Linked DNA regions of Schizosaccharomyces pombe. The protein of the gene in region 2 interacts with the protein of the main gene of each other region in a biochemical or structural test. Each region holds a gene or a part of one and is shown on either strand. Other genes may lie near its edges.

What was found. The genes of interacting proteins can lie anywhere in the genome.
Region 1: the proteins of gem7 (region 2) and gem6 form a complex in vitro, tested with the Schizosaccharomyces pombe proteins (one study listed by BioGRID).
Region 3: the proteins of gem7 (region 2) and yip11 form a complex in vitro, tested with the Schizosaccharomyces pombe proteins (one study listed by BioGRID).

Annotation. Positions count from the first base shown.
Region 1 is NC_003424.3:5,352,999-5,358,188, forward strand, and holds gem6 (SMN complex subunit Gem6), read right to left. Parts: upstream 1,316-5,190; 5' UTR 1,222-1,315; coding exon 940-1,221; downstream 1-939. Other genes in the region: pgc1 (glycerophosphoryl diester phosphodiesterase), read right to left, coding at 1-427, 559-674; F-box/WD repeat protein Pop2, read left to right, coding at 2,133-4,244; rer2 (cis-prenyltransferase), read right to left, coding at 4,394-4,504, 4,560-4,776, 4,823-5,082.
Region 2 is NC_003423.3:2,786,700-2,793,855, reverse strand, and holds gem7 (protein Gem7), read right to left. Parts: upstream 5,387-7,156; coding exon 5,111-5,386; 3' UTR 4,969-5,110; downstream 1-4,968. Other genes in the region: protein Cwf12, read left to right, coding at 1-37, 129-634; gamma-tubulin Gtb1, read right to left, coding at 714-780, 839-954, 1,005-1,469, 1,514-1,990, 2,060-2,113, 2,163-2,275, 2,338-2,386; H2O2 scavenger glutathione peroxidase Gpx1, read left to right, coding at 4,309-4,785; rec14 (Ski complex WD repeat subunit Ski8), read right to left, coding at 5,917-6,536, 6,590-6,878.
Region 3 is NC_003424.3:4,903,282-4,910,262, forward strand, and holds yip11 (SMN complex subunit Yip11/Gem2), read right to left. Parts: upstream 3,114-6,981; coding exon 2,947-3,113; exon of another isoform or gene 2,842-2,946; coding exon 2,493-2,841; exon of another isoform or gene 2,419-2,492; coding exon 2,227-2,418; 3' UTR 940-2,226; downstream 1-939. Other genes in the region: bud20 (zinc finger ribosome biogenesis protein), read right to left, coding at 462-759, 819-895; rsm22-cox11 tandem protein cox1102, read left to right, coding at 3,697-5,958; 19S proteasome regulatory subunit Rpn502, read right to left, coding at 6,216-6,981. UniProt on the Schizosaccharomyces pombe protein: The SMN complex catalyzes the assembly of small nuclear ribonucleoproteins (snRNPs), the building blocks of the spliceosome, and thereby plays an important role in the splicing of cellular pre-mRNAs.

The sequences.
Region 1 (5,190 bases), on a different chromosome or scaffold from region 2:
ATCACAAGCAGGGATGAACCTATGTGACCATAAACAAAACGATACTTTGTCTTTCCAAAAGTCTAAATCAGAATTAACCCGAAGCATTGCATCAACCATTCTGGGAATAATTAACAAATCGTTTACTGGCTTAATGTCAACAAGTAGATTGACGCCAGGATGCTTGGTTAATTCATGCAAAAATTGTTCATAGGTAGGTAACGGCTCGTGAGGCTCTTGAATGGTACGAAAATGACCATTATCCAATTCATAATCAAGATCTCGAACATCAACATCAACACCGAATACTCTGTTAAGATTTCTATCATGCAAAATGCAAACCACTTCATCTTTAGTTAGTCGAACATCTGTTTCAACGCAGTCAGCACCAGCCTTTACGGCTTGTTGAAATGCTAGTATAGTATTTTCAGGATACTTAGCTTTGTATCTGTAAACATAAGTTAAACATTTGCTAAATTGGAGAAGGATTTTGACAATTAAGGGTACAAAGTTGCAGATATGAAACTAAGTCTACTAATAATAAAAGCAGTATGCAACTAATACATTCATAAAACATACCCTCTATGAGCAATGACCAAAGGCGGTTTTGAAAACGTGGCTAAAGAACTCGTATTTTCAGCAATGCTTTGAGCAGCATCATCAACGGTATTGGCAATTGAGTAGTTAAAAGCCATTTTGAAGAGAACGATGTTGGTATTGGGAGAAGTAAAGAATGTAGCAACTATATACCAGTTACTGTAGTCCGATGATATCACTCCGCTCCGCTCAGGTTGCAAAAAAGGCGTTGAAGTGATTCGTCGAAGTCAATTCAGTATAACAATATTTTATATAGTTAATTTACGATAAAGGAAGGAAAACATTTCCCTCGCAAAAGAAGCGAATTATCCATCAGAATTGTAGATTCAAATCATATATTTCAAACGCTGAATGCAATTCGCATCATGAAGTTAATAGAGAATCATATTCTGCTAGCGATTGTTGATTAAGAGGAGACATACTTTCGTCGGGTTCAATGGTCTGAATAGCATCCGACATTATACCATAAAAACGATAATGAGTATCTTCAACCTCGTCTGTATTGGGAGTAAGAGGTTGAATCAAAATTAATGTTCCAGTCAAGGGATCACAGTTCCAAAGAAATCCTTCTACTGGTAAACGTCCATTCTTAAACAGGACGCGCAGGTAAGAACCTCTACGCTTTTCTGTTGTGTGAGAATCCATTTCATTAATTATTCAAATAATGTGAGAAAACAAAAAAGATAAAAAAAACATTAATAAAAACCAAACTTTTTAAAACACGGTTTATGTTCAGGTCAAAAAGTAGTAGCAATTTTCGGTAGCTGTATGAGAGGCGTGGAATTACAAGATGAGTATAGCTTCCGTAGCAGACGTAAATCAAGTATGTTTTTCATTCGAACCCAAATTTTTAGTTGTTTTTGAATTTATGAAACTGATACTTAGGCCATTATGGTTTTTTTTGCTAACAATATACCAGCAATGGGATTTACAATCAGTTTTCGTATTAACTTCCATAAAACTTATTTTATTTATCAACGAACATCAAATTCTAGCTCAGAAAAATAAAAAATGCATATATTTTGTTTGAAAACGCTGCTTACGCTAATCTGTATCATATAACTTCTACTCAATTTTCTTAATCCATGTTTCCTGTTTTAGGTACCGCTTTATATTTATTTACTTAAAAAGTATCAATTCATGTATCTTTTTATTACAAGTTTTGCATTCGCATTGTACGAACTTTTGTTTACAAATTCTCCGCCAGAACTTGCCTCCTACCACACACAAAGATTCTGTATGGTATGAACAACGCATATTGAGCTTCTGTTATTTTTTCAATTAAAAGATTACTTATAAAAAAACCTTTCCATTATTCATTTTCTCTTTATGCCCGCACTTTTTAATCTGTATCTAATTTCGGCATATGCCAGTTTTTGATTAATCTGTAGAAACAAACCATAACGGTGTTGTTTCTTCTTTCCAATCTGTCAGTAACTTTTTCATTGGTCTCTTTTCCAATTTATTTTCAGATTGTTTTATCGACTGTTTTCCTTAAAGCTCATTTTTGACTTCTTATTTATTTCAACGAAAAATCACAATCATTGCATCTACGCATGTCACTCTCTAGGTGTCCAACTGACAATTCGTCCTCCCGTATAAATTCCTCTGTTCCTTTAATAAATAGCAGCAGCCCTGCTACACCTCCAGAATCATTTGATCCTCAAGTATTTCCTTCTTCACTTATTCATGGGGATAACCTGCTTCCTCAAGATGATCAAATTGCATCGGATCCTCGCTCAGAATCAAATAGTTGTAATGGCAATACGAGTTCTTCCCTGCCGTGCACTGATTCGTATCAGTACCCATTAAAGCATTCTTGTACGCCTTCTTTTCTTCGAAAGTTTAATGAAAGTATAGAGAATGTCTCTTATAAATGCTTAGACCACTCACCGCCAGATAGTGTTCCTGGCGATTTTTCCATTTCCCTTGTTCCTCAAAGGAATTTTCTATATTCTCATTCTTCTCTTCCACCTAAAATTATATCAATTGATAGAAACAATCGAATTAAGTTAGATAATAGCATTTCATCTAACTCCGACAATTTCCCTCCTTCTCCGAAAGTCGACACATCAAACACTGTTTCACCTGGTAGTAAACCTATCTCTGAGGATCTTGAAGATTTAAACTTACAGTCAATTGTTCAAACTTTTGAGGATCTTCCAGAAGGAATTCAATCTTATGCGTTTTTTCAACTACTCCGTTCGTGCAATCGGCAATCGATGCGTTTATTATTGAATGAATGCGAGCCGCTTCTAAAAAAAGATATACTTTCAAATCTTCCTTTTTCCATTGTTCAGTCTATATTATTAAATCTGGATATACATTCTTTTCTTTCTTGCCGTCTTGTTTCGCCTACTTGGAATAGAATACTTGATGTGCATACTTCATACTGGAAACACATGTTTAGTTTATTTGGCTTTCAAATCAATGAAAATGACTGGAAATATGCTAATCCAAACTTAAATCGTCCACCTTTTTTGCACAACGACCAAATCTCAGATGACTATTTTCCGGAAATTTTCAAAAGACATTTTCTCAATAGAAAACGATGGTTATTTCCTTCGATACCTCCAAGTCATCTATCTTTTCCCATTCATGTTCCAAACTTTATGATAACTTCTTTACTACTTCATAAAGACAGAATAATCACCACTTCGGGATCTGGAACAATTCAAATTCATAATGCTATTACCGGTGTTTTAGAAGCTCGATTAGAGGGTCATAAAGAAGGTGTTTGGGCTGTCAAAATACATGAGAATACACTTGTATCTGGTTCGATCGATAAAACTGTTCGCGTTTGGAACATAGAGAAAGCTAAATGTACGCACATATTTAGGGGACATATTTCCATCATCAGATGCTTAGAGATCTTAGTTCCGAGTCGTCTTATTCGCCATGGAGTTGAAATTGTTGAACCAGATCAACCGTACATTGTCAGCGGCTCTCGGGATCATACACTTCGGGTTTGGAAGCTTCCAAAAAACACGGATCCTCCTTATCTTCCAGATAATACAAACTCTATTGACCGTTGGGAGAAGAACCCGTATTTTGTACATACTTTGATAGGACATACAGACTCTGTACGAACTATATCCGGCTATGGTGATATACTTGTGAGTGGGAGTTATGATTCTTCAATTCGCATTTGGAGAGTTTCAACAGGGGAATGTCTTTACCATCTGCGGGGTCATAGTCTTCGTATATATAGTGTTTTATATGAACCAGAAAGGAATATTTGCATAAGCGGTAGCATGGATAAGTCCATTAGGGTTTGGGATTTATCGACAGGGACTTGTAAATATGTGCTTGAAGGCCATGATGCCTTTGTTACGCTTCTTAATGTATTCCAGAATAGGTTGATATCAGGTTCTGCTGACTCCACAATTAGAATATGGGATTTGAATACTGGGAAACCATTAATGGTTTTGCCGTCTAATTCAGGCTACATTAGTAGCTTTGTGTCAGATGAACACAAAATTATTAGTGGTAATGATGGTTCTGTAAAGTTATGGGATGTTAGGACTGGAAAGCTGTTACGTTTTCTATTAACAGACCTCACAAAAATATGGCATGTCGATTTTGATGCTATGCGTTGTGTGGCTGCAGTGCAGCGTGATGATCAAGCATATTTGGAAGTTATTAATTTTTCCGGATCAAGACCGTAGAAAGTTTCATTTTAACAATATTTAAGAAGACATAATTAGAGTAGTGTCTAACTATTTACATCAGCTACTAACACATATTAAATGTATACAATGTAAAATTAACAGCCAAAGCCTATCAAAAGTAAATAAGTAACGAAGGATTGAATAAATTATGCTGGTTGGTTTTGTAACTGGTATTGAATTAACATTGGGAAAAACTTCCAGATAGAAAAATCCGGCCAGTAGAAATCGATGAATTTTATCTCCGTATTTTTGTGACACTGATAAAATTAGTTGAATATCTTTGACTAGAAAATTAGGAGAATTTTTACTTACCTGCCATAACATAAAATCAGATAGACGCTCCACACCGCTAGTGCGAATCAACAAGTCTAAAGGAAGACTATCTTTTATCAATAGGTTTTTTTCAAATATATCTTCATCTATATCTTCTGGAGTGATTGTACCATCTTCTGCCATTTTTACTATTGATTGCACAGAAGTAGCAATTTCATGTCGAGAAGTGTATGGAAAGCAAACATTTAATGTTGCCCTAAGATGTCAATTAGCAAAATAAAAATTTGAAAAATTTCACATACTTTGTGTTATGTTTTGTAATTTCCACAGCCTTTAGAGCAGTTTCTAAAACGTCAGGTTGCAACCTGCTAAGATCGCCAACAATGCGAATACGGATCCCATACTGATCAACCAAATCACCATGAGCAGTAATTTGCGTTAAGCTGTTTTTTGCAATCTCCATTAACATATCAACTTCATATTTAGATCGCTTAAAATTTTCAATGGAGAATGTGAAAGCCGATACTTCTTTAACTCCTAACTTCAGACACACTTTTAATAGCTTACGCAGGGTTAGTTAATGTACCAAATTGTGCAGAACGTAGACGGATACCAATGCGCAAAACATGGAGAAACGGTACGTTTAACCTTCTATTAATGTTCTTTAAAC
Region 2 (7,156 bases):
AAAGATATCTCTCGCAAGATCTCTCGAATTCAAAGTGGTACGTCCTAGATTGTTTTATTAGCAAATTTAATTAACTTGCTAAACTTGATTCCGCTTTTATCATTTCTGTGTATTCTAACCATGAATAGCAACGTTGCCTGAATATCAAATTCGAGATTTGAACGATGCAATTAATCGATTGATGCGTGAAAAACACGAATGGGAGGTACAAATTCGTGATCTGGGTGGGATTAATTATCTGTATAATAAAGCAAAGCTATTTGAGGATGAAGGAGAACAAATCAGTGATATAGACGATTATCGTTATTACGGAAGAGCTCGAGAGTTACCTGGCGTTAAGGAACTTTTTGAAGCTGATATGAGTTTTATACCGGAAAGACAGCGCAAACAGGAGATGCAGAAAAGAAGGTTAGACGCCTGGTACTTTGGTTACATACCGCCAGCACAAGAGAGTCTATTAGAAGATTTTGAGGCAAAGATTGAAGAACAACAACATAAACATCTTGAGAACCTTGGTGATGAAGTTGAACAAGATTGGAAACCTCTTGTCATTGAGCAAATACCAACTAGAGACGATGTTGAAGCCATTCTTTTAGAAAGGCGTAAAAATGCTTTGCTGAGCAGAATTTCATAGATTATGAAGTAGGACTAGGATAGGAGAATTAATTTTATATTTTAAGTCTGCTTTGACATCGTAAACTATGAAGGATTTTTTAAAGAGATAAATAATTGGGATCTTCACAAGCTTCGTATTCATTGATCAAGTCGGCAACGACGTCGCTGTCAAATACATTAGTAAATTAACTCAAAATATGAAATTATAAGACAAGATACTTACCGAGAAGAATCGAATTCGTTAAGATCATCTTCGAAAATAGCCTCCTTTTTATATTGCTCTAAAAAGGCATTTCGTTTCCGCAAACGATCATATTGATCTAGTGTTCTCTTGAATAACTACAAAGATTAGTATTAAATGTCTCAAAAAAAAATTTGCAGAAACATACAGAGGCAATACTAGTGTGATTTGCAAGCATAAGTCCACTAACACGGTGGTTCGTTTTTATATAGGGCGACTTTTTAGAAAGTGCAACTTGTATACTTGCTGGTCCCCAAGGAATGAATGAAGCGTATCGTCGTTCTCTTATGCGAAGCAAGGATTTGTGAACGTCCGCCGGATCTGCTTCTCCTTGAATGATATCCAAAATACTAATAAAGCAACTCTTTTTGCTAGGATTGACGGAAACCATCTGGTTTTTAGGCAACAACAACCTTCTCATCACATCAAGCACGGTAGTTTTCCGAATGGCCTTTGCTTCTTCCACTTGCTGATTGGTAAAAGGAGTGTATGAGGTTAGTAAAAAGTGACAGCGAGGACTTGGAATTAATGAAGCTATTATACTGACAAGATCGTTGTTCATGTAGCCAGGATATCTTAAAGTTGTTGTACTGGCAGACATAACAGTTGAAACCTAGAATAGTTAGTTGATGAAAAGACCTAATATAAATCAATTACCAATTGGTTTTGTTGATGAAACGTAGGGTTCTGAGTATGTAACCGATCAGCAGCAATATGAGCAAGTGCTGCATTGTCCAACACAACAACAGAATCAGCATTCAATGTCAGTCGCTTCAATGCAAGAAGACTGTTGTAAGGCTGAACCACAACATCTGATACGGATTGACTATTAGGGAATACTGAATAAGTTTGGATAATCTTCTTGGGATAACGATCGTTTAATCTCTCAAGCAAGAAAGAGCCCAGCCCAGAACCCGTTCCACCAGCGATAGAATGTAAAAGCGAGAAACCCTCTAGAGAATCACTTCCATCAGCTTCACGATCTATCATGTCCATTATATCTTCAAAAATCCTCTCAGCATGCGAATAACCATTAGCCCAATTATTGCCAGCACCTCCTCCATTTTTGGTAATAAGTATATTTTCGGGATTATAAAGGCTGCCGTAGGTGTCGCTTAGAATATTGTTGACCACCTAAGGTAAAGAGGACATTAGTCACTTGAATATTTCAGCAAATACTAATAAAAGGATGCGATAACATACTCTTGGTTCCAGATCAATCAAAATGGCTCTAGGAATGTATCTAGTATCATCAGACTAAAATGAGTTAACATGTTGAAACTTTAAAGTGTATCAATAAACCAACCTGGTAGAAAAAAACGTCTTTTCGATCAACACCCTCAGTTGCGAAACTTTCTAGCGTGCCATCAGGCCCAATGCCATGTTCCAAACACAACTGTTGCCAGAATTGTGAACCAACTAGACAAGTTTGTGAGTAATTAGAATTTCGATTTGATTAATAGTAGTATAGGTGAACATACTTTGATTACCACATTGACCAGCTTGTAACGTAATGATTTCTCTGCCCATGATTAAACAATGAAGGAGCAAACAATCTTTGATGTTTGCTTCTTACTTAAAAGTACAACCGCGAAAGATTTTTTGCTGAAATAGGTGGTTTTCAAAAGAAGGGTATCTTGAGGTATTTCGCTGTGCTTGGGTGAACTGTAGGTCGATAAGAGAAGGTTGGTAGTAAGAAAAGCAAACATTTTCCAGGTCAACTAGACTAGATTATTATAAATAATTACATATTTCTTGACTATAAATTTATCAACCTTGGAGCTGATTCGAGCATTGCTGCAAAATTCAATTAGGAATGACAATTTTTCTAACAGGAAATTAGAAAGCCAAAGTAAGTGAATTTAGAATGTGTCATAAAATTTAGTATTGATTACTATCGTATCTAAATATTTCTAAATCATTTAGTACATTATTTCGTAAAAAATATATGCAACTTTGAATGTAAATATTAAAATTGAAAGTAACACAATAGACACAATTTATGAGTGTTCGAATAAAAAAATAATAGTGATATAAAATTAGACAATTCATGTGGATACTCAAACACTGAAACAAATGATTTTCCAAAAACTAAAAGTATTTTTGAAGACAATTTTATCTTAATTAATACAGATTGTAGAAAATGAAAAATTAACAAATAATTATTTGGCAAAGGTCTAAATATTTTACAAATTAATAAATAAATAAATTAATTGAAAGTAAAAAAAAAAATTGAACATAAATTTTTACTGAAATTATAATTAAGCTCAATAAGGTAATACCACACAACAACAGTTTGATTTTAATATTTATTTAGCAGGTGTAACATTTTTTTTTATTAACAACAAAGTTGCGAGCTTGTAAAATTGGGTTTTAACTTAAACCAAGATTTATTAAAAAAAGAATGTAAAGAACGACGACATATTTACAATGTTTGGAATTTAAAACTTAATAATAGAAACCGAATATCAACATTTTCTATTTCAAAAAAATACTGAGCATTTCTTAATAGTTATGCATATATATATACCTTTTAGCAAATGATTCCAACTAGCTCTTGTAGCTCAGTGGTAGAGCGCTTGCCTAGTAAGCAAGAGGCCCAGTGTTCAAGTCACTGCTGGAGCATAATTTTGATCCTTTTTGCTTTTTGCCCTTCAAAGGGCAAAAAACAATACTTTTAAGATAATACATAAATAATCTATCACTGATACCTTTTTCTACATCCTACTAATTTATTTGTAGATTAAAGTAAAAAAGTAGTTATACGGTTCCTTGTTTTTGTCAAATAATTTGCCTGTGTCCTATATCTTGTTGCAGTGCATATTCTTTTGGATGGAAGAAATCCCACTCTTAAAGTTAGAAAAAGGTTTCGCTTCACTTTCAACTTTAAGATAAACAACATCGGCCATTGGCAATCTCGTCTACTATTATTTTAAACAAAAGGTAGCAAACCATTACTAGGTGTTGTAACTAACGCAAACTACTTAATCGTTTGCTGCTACAATCGCCCCATACAATGTTTAGATACCTATACTGTTTAAGTATGAGTCTCAGCCATTCTATGCATAACCTTTACAAATACGAAATTTGAAATATTTTTACTAAATAGCAGCAAAAATTTCTGTCATTTTGGTGGTATGTTGACAAAAGACAATGGCAGTATACTGCGACATATCCTTTTTTTAACTTTAAAAGCAGCAAACAAAGGAAAAAGAATGTGAGACTGATTAAATAAATAAGATTTCTTTTGATAAATGCGATCCGACTTTTCTTCCTTGGAATTTTTATTAATTTTACGTAAATTTCTCTTGTTAAAAGATCGTGTTGACCCAAACTAAGGTCTGATGTCATTATGAAATAAGGTCAGCTGGAAACATAAGTAGGACGGTCAGCCGCGCTACACCTTACTTTCAACCTACTCATTCTATTAGTATTGAGTTTTGTAAGTTAAAATGTCTCATTTCTACGACTTGGCTCCTAAGGACAAGGATGGAAATCCTTTTCCTTTCAGCAACTTGAAGGGTAAAGTGGTCCTTGTTGTCAATACAGCGAGCAAATGTGGATTCACTCCTCAATACAAAGGTCTTGAGGCGTTGTATCAGAAATACAAGGATAGAGGATTTATCATCCTTGGATTCCCTTGCAATCAATTTGGAAACCAAGAACCCGGTTCTGACGAAGAAATCGCTCAATTTTGCCAAAAGAACTATGGCGTAACCTTCCCTGTACTGGCCAAGATCAATGTTAATGGCGACAACGTCGACCCTGTTTATCAATTCTTGAAGAGCCAAAAGAAGCAACTTGGCCTTGAGCGTATTAAGTGGAATTTTGAAAAGTTCTTGGTCAATCGTCAAGGTCAAGTCATCGAACGCTATTCCAGTATTAGCAAGCCTGAACATCTCGAAAACGATATCGAGAGTGTCCTTTAAAAAAATACTGGAACAAATTTGCAGTGTAAGCGATCATTTCTTCCCGCTTTTAATTTCAGTGGCACACTAATTCTTCTGATCCTTTGGAAGTTTAATGAACTTCACGATTTACCATCCGTTTGACGCAAAAGTTATTTGCTTTAATCCAGCAAAATATACAATATTACGATATTATTTTTAATATTCCTCCTAAATAAATAACATTAATTATGTTGCGCTTCTATACAACTATGCATACTATGTACATCACGCTTTCTCATCTGTAAACACTGAATTGAATACCATGGCTGTTAAGGCTTCTGTATCTGAAAATCGTAATGTATCATCAAAGTTCTCCTTCTTCCTGCACCAAATTGTATTCGATGCCCACGACGTCTCCTGTTCGTATCACCGCTCTGTTAATAACGCCCCAATCGGTTTGTAGATTGGAAACTGCCAACTTTGACTCACTACTGTCTATCGCTCCAAATTCTGCTTTTACTTCTCGTTGATCGTGGAGGTACACAGTGATCGGGATTCGCGCAGAAGCCATTTTTTGATAAAATTTTAGTGTTCGCATCCTCTGGATGTAAGCAGTAGACTTTTTATTATTTTCTGCCATTAGTGTGAAAATTTATCAACAAAAAGTAATCTTGAATTACAAAAAGTCTTCAAAGTAAAGATTATAACATATGCAGTATGTGCATGGTTTTAAACGGTTTGCGTCGTTATCGTATGTGAGAGTAAACTTTCTAGGCACGTAATGTAATACAGTTAAAACACATAAGAAACTAAGCTAACCATTACCTATAAAATAAAAAATAAACTTTTATAGATATTATGAGTCAACTCATGTTTTAAATACAATGGAAACTTTGAATGAGATTCGTATTTCCTTAGGAATTTATGCTTAGATAATTTATATAAAAAGTAAAAGCGTATCGAACGAAAGTAAACAATGATACAAACATACTTGTAATGATGAAAGTGAAAAGAAAAATGCGTTACCCTAAAATAATCCATTTCAAGATCCTTTCGTTTTACGAGTAAAGTGTTGATATTCATAATTAATCCAAATATTAGAAACTCCTTAATTTTTTGCTATTTTTTAAAAACTTTTCCATCGGTCATTAAGAAAGCACAAGAGTGCAATTATTCTGTAGCAGCAGCTCTATACCAACGAATACTTTTATCAGCACCTGCGACGATGAACCCATTTTTATACCATGCCACAGCCCAAATAGCTCCATCCGTTTCACTTTGTGTACTAATACATTCCATGGTGTCAATATCCCAGATTTTGATTTTTCCTTCAACATCAGCCGAAAGCAACAAATCACCTACGGGATTGAAAGCTACTGCAAAAATCCATGCAGCATGACCACGAAGTTGGCCGACTTGATCCCCTGATAAAACGTCGTAGATAGTAATCATTTTAGAATCCCCGGCAGCAGCTAAAAGTGTTGAACCAGGAGAGAACGCCACTGATCGTACAGGGGAAGTGTGGCCCGATAGTACATGAAACAAGCGTCCTGTTTCTGTACTTATAAGGAAAAGCTGCCCAGTTTGATGACCAGAAACGATAAATCTTCCATTGGGAGAATAGTCTATACAAAGACCGAATTTACCTTTGGTATCTAACTCGGAAATTTTGCAATCACTTGGATTGTCCCAGACAGCAATACGCCCGTCTACAGATGTGAAAGCAATCGTTTGTCCATCAGGGCTAATGCAAGAAGACCAGCATTCGCTGGGATGTTGAGCATTATTACCTAAATCATATTCGTTAGAGAAATGCATAGCTTCTTCGTAAAGTAATTCGTACCCAAGTCTCGAAATTCATTAGTTTCAGGATTCCAAACATAAACATCCTGTCCAAATCCGCAAGAAACGACGACGTTTTCATCCAAGCTAGTTGCTAGATGATGAACGCCAAGTTTATGAGGGGTATCTATTTCTTCAACTAAGCTATGCTCAGCATCACCTATAGACCATTTTTTTATTTTGGAATCCCCAGAAGCCGACCAAAGATTGCCTGCGACTACATTGAGAGAGTAAATGTCTGCTTGATGTGCATTTTCTTCTATATGGCTAACGAGATACTCTTTCCTCATAGTATCTAATAAATAAGGAAAATAATACAACAAAATTAGTAATTAAAATGCTGGCGCTTTCCAATACTTTATAATACTTAAACCTGTGACTAGCAGGACTTAGTTTACTGTGGTTGCGTTCTCCTTAGATATACACGGTCTATGCACATACCCTAAACATGTTAGTGAAAAGATGAATTTATAAGTATGAATGAAAGAAAATAATTCTTTTCTGTAGGTAGAAATGAGAAGGTGAGATTATTAGTTGTTAACCGTGACACTGAATTAAATTGTTTAAA
Region 3 (6,981 bases), on a different chromosome or scaffold from region 2:
TTATGAATTAACTAATGGTATTTGTAACATGGTAGTGGCTACGGAAAGTTCATTATAGGAAATGAATCTATGCGTCTAATGAAACGTTCTTTGATGAATTTGTTTTTTTACGAGGATTTTGTTAAATGATAGCGAATGCGTTATGAAAAAATTATCAAAAAAATTTTATTTATTTAAAACACCATGTATCCAAAGAAACCAAAATAACGTGAAGGTAGTTTGAGATGCTCACTCTTGAAGCTAGATTAACATCCAGTAACCAATGGTAAGGTATTAGTTGTAAATTTGTAATCCAAACATGGATGCAACTAAAATTACCAATAAACGCTGCTAATGATAATATAGCAGAATAAATGAGAATGAGACATATAAAAATCTGTTTAAATAAAGAGCATGCGCTACGAATATGGAACAAAAGCAAAAGTGCTGACTAACTTAGCATTCGTAAATGTGTCTCTAGTTTAGTCCGCCATGACAACGTTACTATTGTCAGCAAGCTTGGAAGCTACACTCTGTTTTGGCTGTCCAATATTCACCGCAGCTTCTGCTTCTTCTTGTGTATACGGCTCTTCACGCAAATTTTTTAACCTTCGTTTGTGAACCTTTCCCTTCTTATGCACCAGCAATGCTTGAGACGAGTCAAAGTACCGTGCACATTCAATGCAATAATGTTGACCTAAACCTGGCAAATCCGGATCTATAGGTAATTTATCAAATTTCTCAGACTCTGTTAAGTCATTGTGAATCTGATCTAAGTCTCTATTTGTCCAATTGTTAATTTACCAAACGATGATTGAATGACCATGAAATTTGCATACCTCCCATAAACACGAGTTCTAAACAAAGCATGATTTCCATTGCTATGATGCTTTCTTTTTCTGGCAACTCTTCCCATTGTCCGTCACTTCAAACAAACCCGTTTACCACAATTACAATGTTAGTTGCAAAGGATAAACTTTTTTAAGCGTAAACACATTCAATATCCAAACGGCGTAATGTGTGCTATATCGTATAGTGAAAAATAATTCTCAAATAATCTTATTTTCCTATCGTAGTTTGCGATAAGTTTAATAACGAGAAGGAAAGCCTCGTTATATAGTTGAAAAGCAAGAGAAATGTATTAGATATGTATTATTGATTGTTCTGAATAGCTCAAGTAGCGTAAATTTTTTAATAAATAAATATTCGTTCAAAATTTGGGAGAGCATGGTCAAAGCAAGTTGAAATGCATGCCTTTGAAATTGCGCTTTTTAAGCGACGATTGCTCCATCGTTTGACAAAACTTTGTAATTTAAGGGATGTTTAGCATCGGAATTTATTAGGGAAAATTGCTTTAGGCGTGATTCTTAGTACATGGCAACTATAGAAGAAATGAATTAACATTCAGTAGCTTTCTGGCTTTAACTGCCACTATTTCATCAAAGTCTCGACAAGTTGACGTTTAGTCGAAGGAAAGAAAGTATTCACGTAGCGAGATCAGAGTCCGCTTATCAGCAAGGAAAAAATTGAGCTCTCCATTTAGACTGCTATACTGAAGTGTGAGCAATTTTAGTGACATTTAGTTTTACAAAAGGAGCTTGATTGCTCGAACTCAAAAGATTCAATTAACCACGAAGGGGTTCTTGGCAGTGAGGTTGTAATTATTTCTTTTTTATTTTATCTTTATTTGACTTTTGTTTTTTCCCAAAGAATAATTGCAATGTTCAATTAGTTTTGAATTTGAAAAACCTCATATGGGTAAAAAATCACTCGGTCGAAAAAGACAGTAAAAATTTATTAGTTAATTTCGTAAGATGGGGCGCGAATTAAAGAAAGTTGCTAGTTATCATGTAATAACATAATTGAAACCCTCGATTCGACAAGTATGCAGACAGCAAAACGAATGCACGTACTAAACAAATAGTAAGCCATTTTTTGTAAAATGAAAATGTGAATCAATAAACAAATAACTTTGCCTATCTCAATTCAAACGTGTTTTTTTAAAATATATCTATCGATTTGTAATAGGCAAATTGTTTATTGCAGCTATCTCCAAGCTTGCTTAATCACATGTTCAAAGATGCAAAGCCCAGCATATCCGTGTAGCATATGTTTTCATTCAAAAAAGTAATAATATCCTAAAAACATATTTAAAACAAGCTATCAATTTTAATTTTTTCCCTATAAACAAACGTATGCTATATGAACATGTGTACCTAAATTTTTTTCGACCAAGATTTATAGACTCTATGTTTGAAAGAGATCTTTTTGTCCATATCGATAAACTAAGACTGCTTGAAGGGCAGATGCTGACATCTGCAGAGCAGGAAAAGAAGTATGCGTACTTCGTAAAGACTTGAGTACTGAACGTAGGGTCGATATATCTTCTCCATTCAAAAGCTCAGGAAGTTTATAACAAAAGCAAAAAATCCATTGACTCTAGAAAAATGTTAGCAAATTTTAGAATGAACAAAAATACACCAGCAAAGTAGCATGAGATCCTTGTTACCAACCTGTAAATCAATTGCGTCCTTTTCAAGCCAGCTGGACAAGCTTTCTAGGATCTCCAAAACAGTTGCCAAATCAACCACTGCTAATATGGCCCAACAAGGAGCTTTATGCTCAATATATACACGCCATTGTTGTAAATTTTTAGGTAAAATAGATGCGTCCAATGAAGAAGATTCCATATATTGCTCAAGCCTTTCCCCTTCTTTATCAATTATGTTTAGTAAGTATCGTAAAAACGGGTCAAAGCTTTTTTTGCCGGCCTCGATTTCCAATTTGCGAAGAGGAATGGTTTCTCTTGTTTCAGGCTCACGACGCGCCGCTACAAATGGAACTAGCTTGCGAGCTTCTTCTCTGAACTTGTCAGTAAAAAGCCCAATTATTGTTACAATGATTAGATTAAAGCATTCATGTTGCAAATTTCGATTTTCACAAAAATTCATATATAAATGTTCGTACCTCACAGTTGCTAAATAATCTAAACCATCAAGTGGTATATCATATTCCAAAGATTCTGAAGCACTATTGTTGTCGATTTGTGGAAAAGCGCTGCGTTGATTTGTTTCCTCATCTAATGATCCTGAAGTCTGATATTGTAAAGGATTTCTTTTTCTTTTCGAGGGCATTTTGAATTATTATTGTACAATTGCAAACTTCTCATATAAACCAAATGGAAAAGAATTACCGAATTTTCATGAAAATACTCAAGGAATGTAGGCTGTTTTTTTCCGGCAACTTTTCGTTTGTAGTTAGTTAACAAGGAATGTTTCGTAAATCGAAGATTACCCTAGTATAATAGAATGGTAAGGTTAAAGAGGTATCTGTAGAACTATCAATGTGAAGAGTCTATCTTGATCAAGTGTAATGCTAAAACTAATTTTAGCTATTTCTTGATAATTCCTTTACTATCATAAAATTTATTACTTGTTCTTATTTTCAAAGAAGTTCAAAGTTTTGCATTTTTTTGAAGTGTATAAGAAGCTAAAACTGGGAGAATATTCACTCAGACAGAATTGCCTATCCTTGAACTAATTTAATAAACATAAAACATATAGATATGTAGGAAATTGTACTATTCATTCTTCTGTCAACGCAAGTAACACCATCTGCGGCCACTTAATCAGGCACTTACTCTACACAATATACAGATCAGTGCTTTATCCCCAAATCCCATTGTTCATTGGTGAATTGGTGTTTTGAGCAGCACATATGCCCATTCTAACATGCAGATATAAAATTCTGTTTCTTTATAATTTACGGAATTGCTTTACTTTTCAAAATCAGCGATGTCTCATACCATATGGAACAACCACTACCATTAGGTGGTATAATGCAAATTTTCAAGCTGTTCAAAACAACTTTTCTGATTATAAAAACGAATTGATCTCTTCACATCGTCCAGAAGCTTCCAGTTTACTCGACTTTTTGGTAAAGGATCAAAAGAAAAGTGGTGATATTAGTTTGCATACAAAATTTAATCTATATGTGGACGATTTATTGAAAAAGAGCGAAAAAGGACAAATTAAAAAATTTATTAATGATATTAAAAAAGATTTGGCTACGGAATCTCAGCTTCCATTGTCTGCGCCATTCAAAGATGAATCTACTCGGACTATGACAGATCCCCAAGTTTTAGCTTATATTCATCAGTCTATGCCGTATCAATATGCTTCTCTATACAGCGTATTGACTGACTTGAAAATTGTAAACAGTGATGTGTCTTGCAAGTCTCAACATATACTGGATTGCGGTAAAGGTCCAGGTATTGGTGCTCTAGCTAGTTATTCAGTCTTTCCCACACCTAATTCAGTTTCAATTGTTGAGGAGAACCCATTTTTGAAAAAAATCATATATGATATTCACCATAACATTTACCCGTCAACTTCGCCGAATCCAACTAGCCCTGTTACGCTTAACCGTCTACCATTGGGTAAAAAGGATTCATACACTCTAGTTATTGCATCTAACAAGCTTCTTGAAATGAAATCGGAGAAAGAACTCTTTGATTATCTTCGTTCGCTTTGGAGTCTCGTGTCAAATGATGGTGGTCTTTTGGTGCTCTGCGAGCGAGGCACAAAGCGTGGCTTTAGTTTGATTCAAAGAGCTAGAACATTTCTATTGCAAAAAAGTAAAAATACTTCTGATAAACAATTCAATGCCCATATTGTAGCACCCTGTCCCCACGATGGTCGCTGCCCCATTGATATAGAAAATGGGGTAAGAGCAAATATTTGTTCTTTCAAACAACATTTTTTCCTATCCCCATTTTCCCGTCTATATGTCCCTCGTTCTCATCGTCGATCCTCGGATCGCTCTCATTACAGTTATGTTGTTATTCAAAAGGGTATAACTAGACCGCTTAATAATACCACACAAAGGTTCAAGAATGATGAGGATTTACTAGAAAATGTGAATGTTACATCTCCAACTCTTAAAAACTGGCCACGTATAATTCGACCTCCACTGAAGCGAGATGGACATGTCATAATTGATGTCTGTGATAGCGATGCTCGGCTTAGAAGGAATATTGTTCCTAAATCACAAGGTAAACTAGCTTATCGATTAGCTAGGAAAAGTGCTTGGGGCGACTTGTTTCCGTTAGAGGGCAAAGTTCAAAGTACTTCTCCAAGTAGTAAAATTACTAAACATTTAAAAGATGCTTCTTCTACCTATTCAATCAATCCCCCCTCATATAATAAACCCAAAGTTGAAAGAAATACAACTGCAGATCCTATTTTTGTCGGAAAACGATTCTATTCGACTAATCGTCATAAAGCTTTTTCTCGATTTGCAGACTTTAATTCACATCGTTTCCCTTGTATTTTTACTTCATTTAGCTGTTACAATTGCATCTCTGGTACCAGGAATATTTCACGACAATATTCGAGAGATAAATTCCACTATAATCAAAGGACCACTATCTATTATCTGGTTGCAATTTCCATTTTTGCGTTGGGCTTGACATATGCGGCTGTACCTTTATATCGTCTTTTCTGTTCGAAAACAGGTTATGGTGGCACTCTTAATACCGACCAAAGTCGTATGAATGCAGAAAGAATGGTTCCTCGTAAAGACAATAAAAGAATCAGAGTTACTTTCAATGGCGACGTTGCAGGAAACCTTAGCTGGAAGCTTTGGCCCCAGCAGCGTGAAATATATGTTCTTCCAGGCGAGACTGCTCTAGGGTTTTATACTGCTGAAAATACGTCCGACCATGACATAGTAGGAGTTGCAACTTATAATATAGTACCAGGTCAAGCCGCTGTTTACTTCTCAAAGGTTGCATGCTTTTGCTTTGAAGAGCAAAAGCTAGATGCTCATGAAAAAGTAGACTTGCCTGTGTTTTTCTTTATAGATCCAGAATTTGCTGATGATCCAAATATGAAGGATATTGACGATATTCTTCTAAGCTATACTTTTTTTGAGGCCAGATATGATACCAATGGCAATCTTTTAACTAAACTCAACTGAAATAAAAATTAAGGGACTACATATTGAGTGAACTACAATAATTTATTTAAAATAATTCATCAAGTTAACCTTCTAGTTACGAGACAAATAACAACGAAAATCACTACAAACTTACTAGAATAACTTTCTCCGAGGTTGCAATTCGACATTAAAACTATTGTATTCTCGTAAAAAAAGTTGAAGGCCTTTGAACCAATAGTATATTATTTAAATGACAAAGTCATGAAAGTAACGAAATGAAATAGAGACGGAACAATTTATTTGGCTACCGCCTGTTGAATAGAATTCATCATTTCTTCTTTTATAATAAGCTGTCTTACCTTTTCCAATTTTCCAAGAAGTTCAGTAATATTGGAACCCCACTCATTCAATTGCTCTTGCACATTTTGAGATTTCTTGAATGAAATGACTTGAGCTGGGCGATCAATCTTGGCATAGAAATGATGCTTTGCAATAAGGTCGCAAAGAAATTGTTCTGTTTCGGAAGGACTCATATCCAACAACACTCCTAGACGACTGCAATGAATGCGGGAATAATAGTTTGCGACTACACGAATATTGTGTTCGATGACTCGCTTACGAAGTTCAGACCAACGTTTCTCACCTTTTTCGTCATTTTCAGCAAAAACAGGATTACTCCTTAAAGCACTTCCATAGATTTCGGCAATTTTGGGCCATCTCATTAGTTCATTGACAATAAAGCACTTAACCAATTGTTGGAGTAAAGGAAGAGAATTTAGTTTATGGTCAGCATTAATTCGGTGAAGAAGATCTGCCTGCTCGTTATCATAAGGAGTAAGCAAGGCAAAGCAAACGACATTTTCTAATATTTCTTTCCATTTCTCGGGGTCCTCTTGAACCACGGCGGTGTCATAAACTGCTCGATAATATTTACAAACATCAAGATATGCATCGTCGTGCAAACCAATTCGGATTTTTTGCTCATAATACTTAAGTTTTAAAGACTGGACGTCTTCCTTTTCAAAAAACTTAACATTTATTTTCTTCGTGTAAGTAGATGCC